Linked DNA regions of Callithrix jacchus. The protein of the gene in region 1 binds, or shares a complex with, the protein of each later gene. Links are inferred from orthologs where the notes say so. Each region holds a gene or a part of one and is shown on either strand. Other genes may lie near its edges.

Region 1 (7,462 bases):
TGGGATGAACCGGTCCGATGGCTCCTCTGCAGAGCGCTGTATCCTTGCTTATCTATATGATCTGTACACCTCCTGTAGCCATTTAAAGAACAAATTTGGGGAGCTCTTCAGGTAAGAGAGGTAGAAGGTAAGGGGTAGCAAGTGGGACCTACTCCCTTCTTCCCATGACCACCCAACCCAGAAGGAGAGCATGGCCTGGGACCCTGCTGCCTGTTCAGGGTCATTTACGGACTGTGTCCTCCACGTACTGTTATGTTACTGAGAGTGGGCCCTCTTCCTCAGTAGGCTTGTCCCCCAATCTCTGTGGGGCCCACCCTCTTCCCTCTCTTCCTCATTGCCTTCAGCGGCCCCTGTTCCTTATTCCCATGTGGTTCCTTTCCTGCCCAGTCTGTTTTGTCCTATCTCCCTTTTCTTGTCCCAAGATCCTTCATCCCTCACTTTCTCCTTTTTTCTTTTCTCCCCTTTCCTAACCATCCTTCAACCTCAGCAGACCTTCTTCAACACTACTGTTTCCTTTCCTCCATCCCTGCAGTGACTTTTGCTCAAAGGTGAAGAACACCATCTACTGCAACGTAGAGCCATCGGAATCAAATATGCGCTGGGCACCCGAGTTCATGATTGACACTCTAGAGAACCCTGCAGCTCACACCTTCACATACACGGGGCTAGGCAAGAGTCTTAGTGAGAACCCTGCTAACCGCTACAGCTTTGTCTGCAATGCCCTTATGCACGTCTGTGTGGGGCACCATGATCCCGATAGGTATGGGGCGTACTAAGTGAGCAAGGGCACCATGCCCCCACCTGAGATAGGGAGGGCTGAGGTACCCGGGAGGTACTACAACCTTGATTTACTGGGGCAGAGATGAGAAGTTAATGGGTCTGAGGTTTTGTGGAGCAAGGTTTTTCCTGAGGGCATTTGTACTTTTCCCTAGGGTGAATGACATCGCAATCCTGTGTGCAGAGCTGACCGGCTATTGCAAGTCACTGAGTGCAGAATGGCTAGGAGTGCTTAAGGCCTTGTGCTGCTCCTCTAACAACGGCACTTGTGGTTTCAACGACCTCCTTTGCAATGTCGATGTGAGACTTGGGGTGGGGTCTTGCTAGTGGGGCAGTGACCAGGGCAGGGGTCTAGTCATGATCCTCTGACCAGGGCAGAGTTCCATAGAGTGGAGGCACACAGCTTTGAGTGGGTGCCTCTCTCCACACTGAGTCATGGTGTCTGTCTGCTTTTTCCTCCAGGTCAGTGACCTGTCTTTTCATGATTCGTTGGCTACTTTTGTTGCCATCCTCATCGCTCGGCAGTGTTTGCTCCTGGAGGATCTGATTCGCTGTGCTGCCATCCCTTCACTCCTTAATGCTGGTGAACTACCAATCTGTAACCCCTAGCATTTCTAGGCCTCAAATTTCAATACATACTGGACGGCCATCCTCTCATTGTTCACTGTGGGAGACCTTGCAGCGGCTCCCTGGCCTTCCCGAGAAGGCCAGTCCTTTGGTATGCTGAAGGCTAGAAGGAACCTGTTTTTTTAAACCCTGGATTTGCAGCCCTGACCTTTCCAATTTCTGACCCTTCAACTGCGTGACAGTTCTCCACTGTACCTCATTTTCACAGTTATCTTGCTTTTTCTCCTTTCACTTTACCTCATCTTCTCTCCTATGCTCCTGCCATACACTTCCATGCATGCAGGCATGTACACACATAAACCCACGTAGAGTTCAGCTTCATCCATCGCAGATCTGTATTGTCTTCCTTTTAGCTTGTAGTGAACAGGACTCTGAACCAGGTGCCCGGCTTACCTGCCGCATCCTCCTTCACCTCTTCAAGACACCGCAGCTCAATCCTTGCCAGTCTGATGGAAGTAAGTGACCCTGATCTGAACCAACCAACAGTAGAAAGTGTGGCTCCCTTGCCCCTGTGGATTCTGCTCCTGCTTCCCCTGACTTCATCGCCTTCCCCAGACAAGCCTACAGTAGGAATCCGCTCCTCCTGTGACCGCCACCTGCTGGCTGCCTCCCAGAACCGCATCGTGGATGGAGCTGTGTTTGCTGTTCTCAAGGCTGTGTTTGTACTTGGTATGGGGGTAGAAAGGGAGTGGTGCCAGAAGTGTGTATAGGGTGGAGTGCCAGCTAAACTACAAGGGACAGTCTTTCTCCCTCCTGAAGGTGGTCTCTCTGACCTTTTGGGAGGAGGGGAGGGACAGAAGTATATTTCTGTCCCATAGGGCAGGATTTGGGGTGTTTCTGCCTCTGTGGGCCCAGGGTGGGTCTCCACACAGTGTTCCAATCTCATTCTGCCCTCCCTATCTCCCACCCGTGAACCACAGGGGATGCAGAACTGAAGGGTTCAGGCTTCACTGTGACAGGAGGAACAGAAGAACTTCCAGAGGAGGAGGGAGGAGGTGGCAGTGGCGGTCGGAGGCAGGGTGGCCGCAACATCTCTGTGGAGACAGCCAGTCTGGATGTCTATGCCAAGTACGTGCTACGCAGCATCTGCCAACAGGTCAGTCTCACCTTCCTCCCACACCTCCAAAATGCCTCTGTGTAATATAGTCCTGTTTCCAGCCCGTGATCATACCACCTCCCTACTATACATTGTGTCCCTTACCAATTCCAGCCCATCCCCCATATTGCTAACTCCCTCACTGGTTGCTCCCAGTCCCTGATTGTCAGCTTTCTCAGGAATGGGTAGGAGAACGTTGCCTTAAGTCACTGTGTGAGGACAGCAATGACCTGCAAGACCCAGTGTTGAGTAGTGCCCAGGCACAACGCCTCATGCAGCTCATCTGCTACCCACATCGACTCCTGGACAATGAGGATGGGGAAAACCCCCAGCGACAGCGCATAAAGCGCATTCTCCAGGTAGACCAAGGCCAAGGGGGCCATGGAGGAAGCAATGGGCCCAATCTGGCGAGAAACAATAGGAACCTTGAGAAAAGGAGAGGGAGAGTTAAGTAGAGAGGAAGACAAACAAGGATGTAGGGGAGAGGAGGGGTAGTGAGAGAAACAGCTCCAGCATGGGCTGAGGAGTAAGTCCAATATGGTCTAGACTCCAGAGTAAGAGTGTTATGTGAGGGCACAGCTATCTGGAGTGAATCTAGCTTATCAGTGGGAAGCATAGCATCTGGGGGGCCTAGGTGTGGGTCTTGTATATTTGGCATTTTGGCCATGGCTCAGGAACTGAATAGTAATAGCTACTAATTGCTGAGCACATGTTTTGTGCCAGGTACTGTGCTAGGCACCTGCACACATTTCCTCATTTAATCTTTATGACCCTATGAAGTAGGTGAGCCTCCCTGTTTGACTGATGAGGAAACTGAGGCTTGAAGAGGTTAAGTAACTTGTCCAAGGTCACATAGCTGATAGGTTTAGAGTCAGCCCAGACATGTCTGTGCACTTTTCACTTCACATTGCTCCACATCTTCAGATGACTGGAGAATGGAAAAATAAAGCCGTTGAGGAAAAGCTTAAGGAATAAGGTCTCTTCAGCCCAGAATAGATAGGGCTGAAGAGAGATTAGCTAACAGTAGCCTTCTAATCTCTACAGGACTTTGAGAGATTGTCTTATAAAGGTCCTGTCAGGGACTTTCAGCAGCTAGTCTAAAACAAGAGGAGCAGGCTTCAACTTTAACATCAAGGGTTTCAAGGTTAAGCATTAAGCAGAACTTCCTGATATAAAGGGATGGGAAAGATGTGAAATCTTTCCTGAACCATTTTAAAAATTGAGAAGATTTTCAGCTAGTTTGGACTAATGTATTTTTTCTTTTCTTTTCTTTTTTTTTTTTTTTTTTTGAGACAAGTCTTGTTCTTATCACCTAGACTGGAGTGCAGTGGCACAATCTCAGCTCACTGCAACCTCCACCTCCCAGGCGCAAGTGATTCTTCTACCTCAGCCTCCTGAGTAACGGGGATTACAGACACCCGCCACCATGCCTGGCTAATTTTTGTATTTTTAGTAGAGATGGGGTTTCACCATGTTGGCCAGGCTGGTCTTAAACTCCTGACCTCGGGCGATCCACCCACCTCAGCCTCCCTAAATGTGGTTGTTCTTAAAGATGGGCACATAGAGGTCTCTTTCAGACCTCCAGGAGTCTGATTCAATGTTGCAGGAGATCAGGAATTGGCCTCAGGTTGGTGGGTAGCTGGGGGTAACAGATGATGACTAGTCTGGATGTGGGACCTCTATCACAGAACTTGGACCAGTGGACCATGCGCCAGTCTTCCTTGGAGCTGCAGCTCATGATCAAGCAGACCCCCAACAATGTAAGTAGTACCTGGACCCTCCCTTTCCTGTGCTCACATTCAACTCCTTGTGTTAGGAAGGCAGTCCACCACAGAACCTAGATCTTACCCTTGGGCTCTTGAACTGAGAGATAAGAGGGGATGGGAAAATGGTGAACAAGTGGAGCTGTTGATAAGGGAAATGGGTTGAGAGTGTTGGAGCTCTGAGCTGTGGAGAAGCTTGGTGGTGGTGGTAGAGCCTGTTTCTGTGGCCACAGATGTAAGGATATATGTAAAAGAGAAGACAGTGAGGAATTAGAGAAATACGGAGGTACTAGAAGGCATGATTCCCAACAGATTTGGGTTCCTACCTCCCCATCAATCTCCACCAGTCCTATCCTCCCTCATCTCCCATCTCTCCTACCATCTGCTTTCCTTCACCCCTAGCTACCTATTTTAGCACTTCTGTGCCTTTCATCCTCCCCAGGAGATGAACTCCCTCTTGGAGAACATCGCCAAGGCCACAATCGAGGTTTTCCAACAGTCAGCAGAGACAGGGTCATCTTCCGGAAACACTGCAAGCAACATGCCCAGCAGCAGCAAGACCAAGCCTGTGCTCAGGTCAGATAGAAACATGTTGGGACCCATCCCCTTAGGAGTTTCTCTGCTGGTAGCATGTGTGATGTTAGCTGCATGGAGATGCCAGCATGTCTATCAGGGAAAGGAGAGGGTGGATTGTTCCAGCCTTGCCTGGTTCCCCTGTGACCCTGTGTCTGTTCTCCAGCTCTCTAGAGCGCTCTGGTGTATGGCTGGTAGCCCCTCTCATTGCTAAACTGCCCACCTCAGTCCAGGGACATGTGTTAAAGGCTGCTGGAGAGGAATTGGAGAAGGGTCAGCACCTGGGTTCCTCTTCACGCAAAGAACGTGATCGACAAAAGCAGAAGAGGTAAAGGGGCTTAGGGAGTGGGCCAAGATAGAGGGGTAGAAAGGAGAGGAGGCAGGCCCAGGGAAGAATATAATTGGGATGGAGGAGAAGCATAATAGGGAAGTGGAAAATCAGAGGATAAAAGTGGGTATGGCTGAGCAAGCGGCTAGATTAAGAGAGTAGAGTCTGGGGCTTGGAGGAATGAGGTTGGAAGTTGCCTGACTCCCAACCCACAGTCTTCTCTTCTCTCTTCTCTCCTCTTCTCTTCTCTTTTCTCCTCTTGTCTCTAGCATGTCCCTGTTAAGCCAGCAGCCCTTCTTATCACTGGTGCTGACATGTCTGAAAGGGCAGGATGAACAACGCGAGGGACTCCTTACCTCCCTCTATAGCCAGGTGCACCAGGTACAGATATCTGGGCCATGGAGTTGGGCAGGAGGGCAGGGAAGGATGCACCTAAGGGGCTACTCTGTACTTGGAAACGTCAGTACTTTCTGATAAACATATTGGCTGCTTTGAGATGGAAGCACAAAGATCCCTGAACTGCATGTTTTATTTGTTTCTATTCTAGATTGTGAATAATTGGCGAGATGACCAGTACTTAGATGATTGCAAACCAAAGCAGCTTATGCATGAGGCACTCAAACTGCGGCTCAACCTGGTGAGAAGGCCAGCTGGGGAGAAGAAGGAAGAGGGTAGGGCTGGAAATGTGGAATACAAAAGCCTCAGGTTGTAGAGAACAGAGGTGAGAATAGCGGCTCCAGGCTCCAGGTTATTTTTTATTTTTTTGGAGACGGAGTCTCACTCTGTCACTCAAGCTGGAATACAGTGGTGCCATCTCAGTTCACTGCAACCTCCACTTCCTGGGTTCAAGTGATTCTTTTGCCTCAGCCTCCCAAGTAGCTGGGAGTACAGGCATGCGCCACCACGCCCAGCTATTTTTTGTATATTTAGTAGAGACGGGGTTTCACCATGCTGGCCAGGCTGGTCTTGAACTACCGACCTCAGGTGATCCACCCACCTCGGCCTCCCAAAGTGCTGGGATTATAGGTGTGAGCCACCGCGCCCACCCTGAGTCTTGAAGTATTAACCCTGTTCTCCGAAAGGATGCAGAAACTGAAAGTAGTTAAGGGGGCTGGATCACTGTGGTCATGGTCCAGTAGGTTACGTACCCTGGATCCTTGCAGGGACTCTGCCTCAGTATCCTAGATTCTGACTGGGCCCTAGAAGCTCTGGAAACCCATTGTGGAATATTGAATGGAATCCTGGAAATCATTCAGTCCAACTCCCATCACTTTCTAAGTTTGGAAACAGAGGCCCAGAGATGTCAAGAATTCCCTCATTGTCTTAAGATCATGTAGCAAAGCATAGGTTCAACTTGAGCATGACCTCAGGCATCCCAACTCAGATTTGAACTAAGCTTCCCTTACATGCTGGCCTTTGTCCCTGAGCTATCTTACTGACTTGTTGTGGCCTTGGCAGGTGGGGGGCATGTTTGACACGGTGCAGCGCAGCACCCAGCAGACCACAGAGTGGGCCGTGCTCCTCCTAGAGATCATCATCAGCGGCACTGTCGACATGCAGTCCAACAAGTAAAGCATCCCCACCTGCTCCCTGCAGTTTCACACCCAAGAAGGTCCCCCTACCTCCACGCCAAGTGGACCCACTGAGATTGGTGTGGCTGTTACTGTGGACTCCATGGCCCTGGGATCCCCATATGGTTTTGGTGCCCTCAGGGTGACATATTAAGCACCTCTCCCTGCTTGTGTCCTCTGCTGACGCCTTTTTCTGTCTTCACCTCTCTCTTCTCTGGCTTTCTCCCTGGCTTCCTGTCTCAGTGAGCTCTTCACTACTGTGTTGGACATGCTGAGCGTGCTCATCAACGGGACATTGGCTGCAGACATGTCTAGCATCTCCCAAGGTAGCATGGAGGAAAACAAGCGTGCATACATGAACTTGGCAAAGAAGCTGCAGGTGAGCAGAGGAGGCAGGGGCAAGGTTTGCGGGTACCGGAATCTGCTGTCCAGCCTCAGGAACTTGGTTCTAGCTGGAGCCCTCTACCTTTCCTTCTCACATCTGTCTCCTTTGTTACTCATGCCATGAGCATTTACTGAGTGGGGGTCTTCTCTGTGCCAGGTTCTGTGCTGTCCCTGAGATTTCCCATCCTTGTTTTTCTGTATCTCTGAACTCTTGTCCCATCTTCCTGTAACTGCAGAAGGAGTTGGGGGAGCGCCAGTCAGACAGTCTGGAAAAGGTTCGCCAGCTGCTGCCACTGCCCAAGCAGACCCGAGATGTCATCACGTGTGAGCCACAGGGCTCCCT
Region 2 (7,462 bases), on another chromosome or scaffold:
GGGCCAGGCCAGACCTGAGCAGAGGAGCTTCAACTTTCAGGGAGTGAGAACAGCAACGTCTTCTCCAGGGGCAGGACACAGAGCACCCCCATGGGGGATAGATCACCACAAGTCCCTGCCATACCCTCTCTGACCAGCTGCAAAGATGCCTCCAGCTGGGGCAGCGGCAGAGCGGCAGCATCAGGGAGTGAGCACCCAGGAAAGGGAGCAGCATGCCGCCAGCCCACACACTCACTGGGGCTCGAAAGGACGTTGGCGTCATCCTCATTGGAGCTCAGCAGTCGCATCAACTTCGAAGGCTGCACGTCGTCCAGGGGGAAGAGGCTGATGTAATCCTAGAGGGTGTGAGAGTCACTGTTATATACTCCTAAACCCCTCAGTTTCCAGCTGTCAAGGAAAAGAGCTGGAGCTCCAATTTGCGTGAGGTCAGCACGGCCAGCAGGGTCTCAGCCCCTCTCTCCTCACGCCCTCCCACAATCCTACAGGCCCCTCGTACCCACAGGCAGTCTGGGGCCATACGAGCCACCCGAAGATCCCTGACCAATCACACCACATCTGCTTCCCTCAGGAAGTGCTGAATTCTCAGGAAATGAACAAGTGAACGGAGGGGCCCTACCTCAATGTCTTCACGGTGTCTCTTCTTCTGGCGGGTGGACGCCTGTCCCTTGTGGGAGGAGTAGGAACTGAGGGCACACCACACGGCCAGCCTGGCAAAGGGTTCCAGAAAAAGGGGGACAGTCAGAGAAGCCACAGGGGCTTTCTGTGTCTGACTGGGCTCCCCCAGGGTGGTACCAAGCTCTGAAGAGACTCCTACTTGGCAAGAGCGGTGCCTGGGGGGTCCATGAGGCTGTGCCACTTGGAGGAGTCAGTGAGCAGGCCAGGCAGGATGTGGCCCAGTAGGACCAGGGTCACTTGCTGCATGTCCAGGCAGAAGATGGAGTAGAGCAGCTCTACTGCCCGCAGCGTGTGCTCCTTCCGCGTCTCCTTCAGCAGCTCCTGGTGCATGGGAACGGGGACAGTTTAGGAGCCGGGGGCCCCAGATCTGCCACTCCAGCATGGCTGTCCAGGAAGGCCCACAGAGGGGTCCCAAGTGCTGCTGCACCCCTCAGGCCGAATCCCAGCCTCTGGCCAGAGCTCCCCAAGGAGGCAACCCCAAGGCAAGGCATCCCCAGGGAGCCATCAGGCTCACGGCAGCCTCTCAGGGAAGCCTGGCTGACCAGGCCAGGTGTAGGGAACCAGGGCACAGGACCCACATCGGCCCACAGCCACTCCAGCCCAAGTACCTTAATCAGGTTGTTGCCGAACCAGTAGACACCGCCCATGTGCAGCAGGGTGTCGAAGATGTGGATGGAGCGGCTGTCCACCCAGCCCTTCTCCAGCACCTTGGCAAAGATGTCCGTCAACACCTCCTTGATGGGCCGCTTGGGGGGCAGTAGGTTCCAGTAGGGCATCGTGTCCACCCCGGTGGAGGGAAACTTGATCTGCGTGGCTGTCTGCTGCAGCACATCCGCGCACATGCGCTCCAGGATGGAGTTCATGATCACTACCCTGGGGGGCCGAGAGGACCTGAGGCTCAGGTGCCACTGTGGGGCGGGGAGGGGAGGGGAGGTGAGGAAATACCCACGCCAGACTTTCCCCTGGACTTGGGTGATGGAAATCTCCCTCAGGAATTAACCCAGTTCTGTGCTGGGGAGGGGACACCCCCAGGTGACCTGGCCCCAACCCTGCTCCTGGCAGGTCTCTCACCTGCAGCACACAAAGCCTATAAACAGGGACTGGGCAGGGGCTTTCCTCCCCCTGGCCACTCCAGCCAGATATTACATTTTTCTTCCCTTACTCTCCAACTTCCCCCATTCCCCAGGCCCGAGCCCTGCCAACTTGCTGCATAAATAAACACAATCACTTCCCCCTGGGCCACTTGGGGGTCCTGGCCCAGCCCTGGCCTCCTCCCAAAGAAAACAGTTCCTTCCAGGAGAGGGCCAAGGGCTGCCCCACAGGATTCCTCCCAGCCCCTGGTAGCTGCGCAGACAAAAGTGTATATCCAGGAATTTTCACAAGGAAAGAGGCTTCGGATGTGAATACAGACCTGGCCGAGTGCTGACTGTTCCTGGAATGCGGGGTGGCTCTGGGAAAGCTGCTATGACTTTTAGAGCCACTTTTCTCACCTGCACAATAGAGTCACAGACTTCCCTCTATCCCTTACCCAGATGGGACTTAGGAAGCTTAGAATGGATTACATCAGAGCAAAAGCTCCCTATTTGGTAGGGGCGGGAGAGGGGGGACGGAAATGAGAGAAGAAAGTAAAAAGAAGGAAGCAAGAGGAAGATGAGAGGTCCTTTTCCAGACCCTCCCAAACCTCATTCAGCTCAATGCTTTCCCTTCTCTCTATTAAGACATCTTCAGGCTGGGCGTGGTGGCTCACACCTGTAATCCCAGCACCTTGGAACGCTGAGGTGGGAGGATCGTCTGAGGTCAGGAGTTCGAGACCAGCCTGGCCAACATGGCGAAACCCCATCTCTACTAAAAATACAAAAATTCGCCGGGCGTGGTGGCACACGACTGTAATCCCAGCTACTCGGGAGGCTAAGGCAGGAGAATTGCTTGAACCCAGGAGGCAGAGGTTGTGGTGAGCCGAGATCACACCACTGCACTCCTGCCTGGGCAACAGAACAAGACTCCGTCTCTAACTAAATAAATAAATGAATAAATGACATTCTCAACAGCTCCCTTGCGAGGTAACACCCAAATCATATTGGCTGGTGAACACCCATTATCTCAGCAGCACTACTCACCATAGCCCAAAGGTGGAAAAAACTCGAGTGTCACAGAGAAGGGATCATCTAGATGCGGTATAGCCACACAACAGAGGTTTCTTTCTTTTTGTTTTTGTTTTGTTTTTTGAGACAGCGTCTCACTCTGTCACCCAGGCTGGCGTACAGTGGCGCGATCTCGGCTCACAGCAACCTCTGCCTCCCAAGTTCAAGCAATTCTCCTGTCTTAGCGTCCCAAGTAGCTGGTGGGATTAGAGGTGCCTGCCACCATGCCCAGCTAATTTCTGTATTTTTAGTAGAGATGAGGTTTCACCATGTTGGCCAGGCTGGCCTTGAACTCCTGACCTCAAGGATCCACCCACCTCGGCCTTCCAAAGTGCTGGGATTACAGGCGTGAGCCACCGCACCCAGCCCACAACAGAGTATTATTCAGCCTTAAAGAGGAAGGAAATTCTGTCACATGCTACTACATGGATGAACTTTGAGGAAATCATGGTGAGTGAAGTCAGTTGGTCACGAAAAGTTAAGTACTGTATGATTCCAGTTAAATGAGGCATCTAAAAAGTAGTCAAATTCAGCAGGTCTTGGTGAGTCATGCCTGCAACCCCAGCACTTTGGGAGTCCACAGTGAGAGGATCACTTGAGGCCAGCAGTTCAAGACCTAGCAAGATAGTAAGAACATGTTTCTACAAAAAATAGAAAAAATTACCCAGGTGTGGGCCTGCAGTCCCAGCTACTCGGGAGGCTGAGGTGGGAGGATCACTTGAGCCCAGAGGTTTGAGGTTGCAGTGAACTCACTCTGGTCTGGGTCCCCCCACCCCCCAAAAAAAAAAAAAAATTATAGGCAGGGCTCGGTGGCTCAAGCCTGTAATCCCAGTACTTTGGGAGGCCGAGGCCAGTGGATCATGAGGTCAAGAGATCGAGACCATCCTGGTCAACATGGTGAAACCCTGTCTCTACTAAAAATACAAAAAATTAGCTGGGCATGGTGGCGCGTGCCTGTAATCCCAGCGACTCAGGAGGCTGAGGCAGGAGAATTGCCTGAACCCAGGAGGTGGAGGTTGCGGTGAGCTGAGATCGCGTCATTGCACTCCAGCCCCCCAAAAAAAAAAAAAAAAAAAAATATATATATATATATATATATATATATATATATATATATATAAAGTAGTCAAATTCCTAGATGCAGAAACTAAAATGGTAGTTACCAGGAGCTGGAGGGAGGAAAAAATGGGAAGTTGCTCAGTGGATACAAAGTTTCAGAGACGTAAGAAGAAAGTTCTGGAGGAGACTTGTCACACAACAGTGTGAATATACTGAACACTACCGAACAGGACACTTAAACATGCTTAAGATGGCAAATCTTATGTGCTTTTTATAATTAAAAACTGAAGAGCCAGGGCAGGAAACTGTCCTAAAAGATAACTGGGGGTGGGGGATGGCCTGTAAAATCTCCAGACACTTTTCTAGTTCCTAGACAGTTACACAGCTTTGTTCTTTGGAGAGCTAGTTGTCTAGAACTTGAGAATCTGAGGGCAGGATCATAGCTGTTTGGGATCTGCATTTCTGACACACAGCAGGTGCTGGCGTACAGACGTTTCTGCCACAGAGACACACTATGTGTTGACCGAGTCAGGTGAGTGGATGCATGAACAGGAAAGTGAGTGACCGAGCAGCGTGTTTGCGAAGGTCAGAAGAGAGGGGTGCTTGTTATTGGATGGATTTCTCACAACACACCTGCTGGGCCTGAGAAGGGAGGGCGGGTTACTGACCTTTCATTGTAGAACTGCAAGGTGTTCTCACTAAACAGTGGTCCTGCCAGCTGACGAATCATCTGCAGAGACTTCTCACGCTCATCTAGCCCCAGCATCCGGACATGGGCCACAAGCCAAGCCACCGCACACACCGCCAGACTGCACACCTTCCCTTTGATGTTATCAGTGATTTTCTAGGGGAGAGGAAAGGTGATGGGCACCATCTATCTCCCATTCCTGGGCCATCACCTTCTCAGCCTCTGTGGGCATCTAAGTGCAGTCCCCAGCGACATTCCACACCTCTCTCCACGAGTCTAATTTTTCCTAGAGCTACCTGGGCCAGAGGGAATGGCTAAGACTAGATTATACAAAAGATCAATATCAAAACATGAGCTCCTTGGGCCAAGTGTGGTAACTCACACCCGTAATCCTAGCACTTTGGGAGGCTGAGATGGGCAGATCACAAGGTCAGGAATTCGAGACCAGCCTGACCAACATGGTGAAATCCTATTTCTACTAAAAATACAAAAATGAGCCAGTTGTAGTGACACACGCTTGTAGTCCCAGCTACTCAGGAGGCTGAGGTGGGAGAATCACTTGAACCCAGAAGGCAGAGGTTCAGTGAGCCGAGATCACTCCAGTGCCCTCCACCCTGGCAACAAAACAAGACTCTATCTCAAAACAAACAAACAAACAAAACACATGAGCTCCTGGATTAAAGGTCTTTTCACTGTCATGAAATATAACAAGCCATCACTGGCTGGCTCACGGGAGCAAAGGCTGCTGGGAAGGCGGGGCTACCTGGATGGACTCGAAGGCCAGGACCCCGTTCTCCCAGGCATTGAGGATTTCCAAGATGGCGGCTGAGATGCTGAGACAGGCCTCGTGCCACTTCATCTGCCTGTGGGTGTGCGTGGGAGAAGTCACCACAGGGAAGCAGGGGACAGGCTCAGGGAGAGAGTCTTGGCCGTGCCCCCACCGCCACCCTTGGAGTGGGCGCCCGGGCCACTGACACCAGCTTCATCTCCGAGGAGTTGTTGAGCAGGGCCACCAGGGACTCCACTTTGGTGGAGTCGGGGCGGAAGCAGGGGTGGTCAGGGTTCAGGATCTTGCCCTCCTCAGGCATGCAGGTCTGCATCCAGGTCTCGAAGAAGGGTACCTCAGCTCCTGAGCGCGACTCAGACAGAATCACCTGGGAAAGGGGAAGAGGGGGCACCAGCCGAGTGGAGGGTGCGGCGCCTGCCAGCGCTAGACCTGGGGCTGCACTGTTTCCTGTCACGTTGCTGCTCCAGCCCAGCCTGAAGACTGGGGACAAACCGGTCCAACGGAGGCAGATGGGGGCTATGCTGCCACCTAGTGGTCAGTGTAGCATGGGGCTGAAGGGGGCCTCTGCAGACTCCAGCCCGGGTGGGCACTTGGTTTCTGAGGCCCACAATACTGACTGGCTGAGAGGCTGTGGCGGGGCGGGTGGTGAGGTGGGGAGAATTCCGAGTTACCTCCTTCCCCTGAGCCCCCGTCCCGGCCACTCCCCTCTTCCTCACCTCTGAACCATAGGTCTGGGCCACGTGGCACAGCATGAGGAAGGAGATGTCAAATAGCAGGGCCCGGACAGAGGCCGGTTTGGCTGTGGAAGGACAGGACAGCTGAGCTACCAGGGAGAGCCCATGTCTGGGTGGATGGGGATCAGGATTTGTCTCTAGGAAGGTCAGGGACCACGTGGCTCCTTCAAAGCTCTGAGGCTCAGAATCCTTTTCTTGAGTCTCAGTTGGAACATCATCCCTTCCTTGAGACCAAAGGCCCCCAGCACCCTCTTCCAGCATACCCAACCAAGTCATAAGGGGTGGGGGAAACGAGACACAGGGATGGTCTGGGAAGAATCCTTCTCCAGCATTACCCACTTCCGAGCTCTGTGGAAGCTTCCATCAGTCATGGCTCTGAGGAGGCAGCACAGCCTCCCCGCGTTGAGCCCAGGTGCCCTCCTCCCTCCCGCACACCCTCCTCCCTCCCACACTCTCCCTCCACACCCCTCCTCAGATCCCACTGGGCCTGCGGATGCACAGGGCTGACTTACTGCTTTCTTCGCTGCCATAGGTTGTGAATTCATTCAAACTGAAAGGAATGGAGACAGGTTGCGTTGACCAGAGCATGAGCTGAGCAGTAGCTGGGCGCTGGGGGCTACACATGCTCAGAGAGTGGTCGCTAGAGTCTGAGTTACAGGTTAAACTTAAAAGGAGACATGCTGCTACAGGAAAAGTATTACTATTTGTTTGTTTGTTTGTTTGTTTTGTTTTGTTTTTTGAGACAGAGTTTCGCTCTTGTTACCCAGGCTGGAGTGCAATGGCGCGATCTCGGCTCACCGCAAACTCCACCTCCTTGTTCAGGCAATTCTCCTGCCTCAGCCTCCTGAGTAGCTGGGATTACAGGCACGTGCCACCATGCCCAGCTAATATTTTGTATCTTTAGTAGAGATGGGGTTTCACCATTTTGACCAGGAGGGTCTTGATCTCTTGACCTCGTGATCCACCCGCTTTGGCCTCCCAAAGTGCTGGGATTACAGGCGTGAGCCATTGTGAGAAGATTTCCATGGCCTAGAGAACGGCTCACTGAATGGTACCATGTTCTGTATGTCAGATTCTAGGGCAACCAGAAAAGGCAACAGAATTTGAGAGCTGCTTATTAATAACTGGGCATACTTGGAATGCCTCCACGTCCAGTGTTCAACGCCTCAACCTTTACCCTCATCTCTTTACCAAACACATCCACTCCATCCTCAGCTGAAGAGAAAAGAACACTTAGGTTGTGAGAACAGGCCCTTTCTACAAGATCTCCAGCCAGGGTGCTCTGCCTAGGCCCGTGGGTCTCTGGACGAGACCCAGACCCAGGCACCTGACTCCTACTCTGCTACCTCCTGCCAACACGCATGGCCTCCCCGCATGC

The links. The genes of interacting proteins can lie anywhere in the genome.
Region 2: MED12 (region 1) and mediator of RNA polymerase II transcription subunit 24 share a complex: the UniProt entries of both Homo sapiens proteins name them as parts of the mediator complex. The link is inferred for Callithrix jacchus from reciprocal best matches to the Homo sapiens genes MED12 and MED24.

Annotation. Positions count from the first base shown.
Region 1 is NC_133524.1:68,408,104-68,415,565, forward strand, and holds part of MED12 (mediator of RNA polymerase II transcription subunit 12), read left to right. Parts: coding exon 1-111; intron 112-532; coding exon 533-760; intron 761-932; coding exon 933-1,077; intron 1,078-1,239; coding exon 1,240-1,360; intron 1,361-1,757; coding exon 1,758-1,859; intron 1,860-1,959; coding exon 1,960-2,073; intron 2,074-2,324; coding exon 2,325-2,500; intron 2,501-2,679; coding exon 2,680-2,859; intron 2,860-4,188; coding exon 4,189-4,260; intron 4,261-4,705; coding exon 4,706-4,839; intron 4,840-5,002; coding exon 5,003-5,164; intron 5,165-5,433; coding exon 5,434-5,545; intron 5,546-5,711; coding exon 5,712-5,801; intron 5,802-6,622; coding exon 6,623-6,732; intron 6,733-6,978; coding exon 6,979-7,114; intron 7,115-7,355; coding exon 7,356-7,462. UniProt on the Homo sapiens protein: Component of the Mediator complex, a coactivator involved in the regulated transcription of nearly all RNA polymerase II-dependent genes.
Region 2 is NC_133506.1:72,293,207-72,300,668, reverse strand, and holds part of mediator of RNA polymerase II transcription subunit 24, read right to left. Parts: intron 6,635-7,462; coding exon 6,597-6,634; intron 6,319-6,596; exon of another isoform or gene 6,215-6,318; intron 6,150-6,214; coding exon 6,067-6,149; intron 5,718-6,066; coding exon 5,539-5,717; intron 5,427-5,538; coding exon 5,327-5,426; intron 4,720-5,326; coding exon 4,544-4,719; intron 1,549-4,543; coding exon 1,284-1,548; intron 997-1,283; coding exon 815-996; intron 708-814; coding exon 617-707; intron 336-616; coding exon 236-335; intron 1-235. UniProt on the Homo sapiens protein: Component of the Mediator complex, a coactivator involved in the regulated transcription of nearly all RNA polymerase II-dependent genes.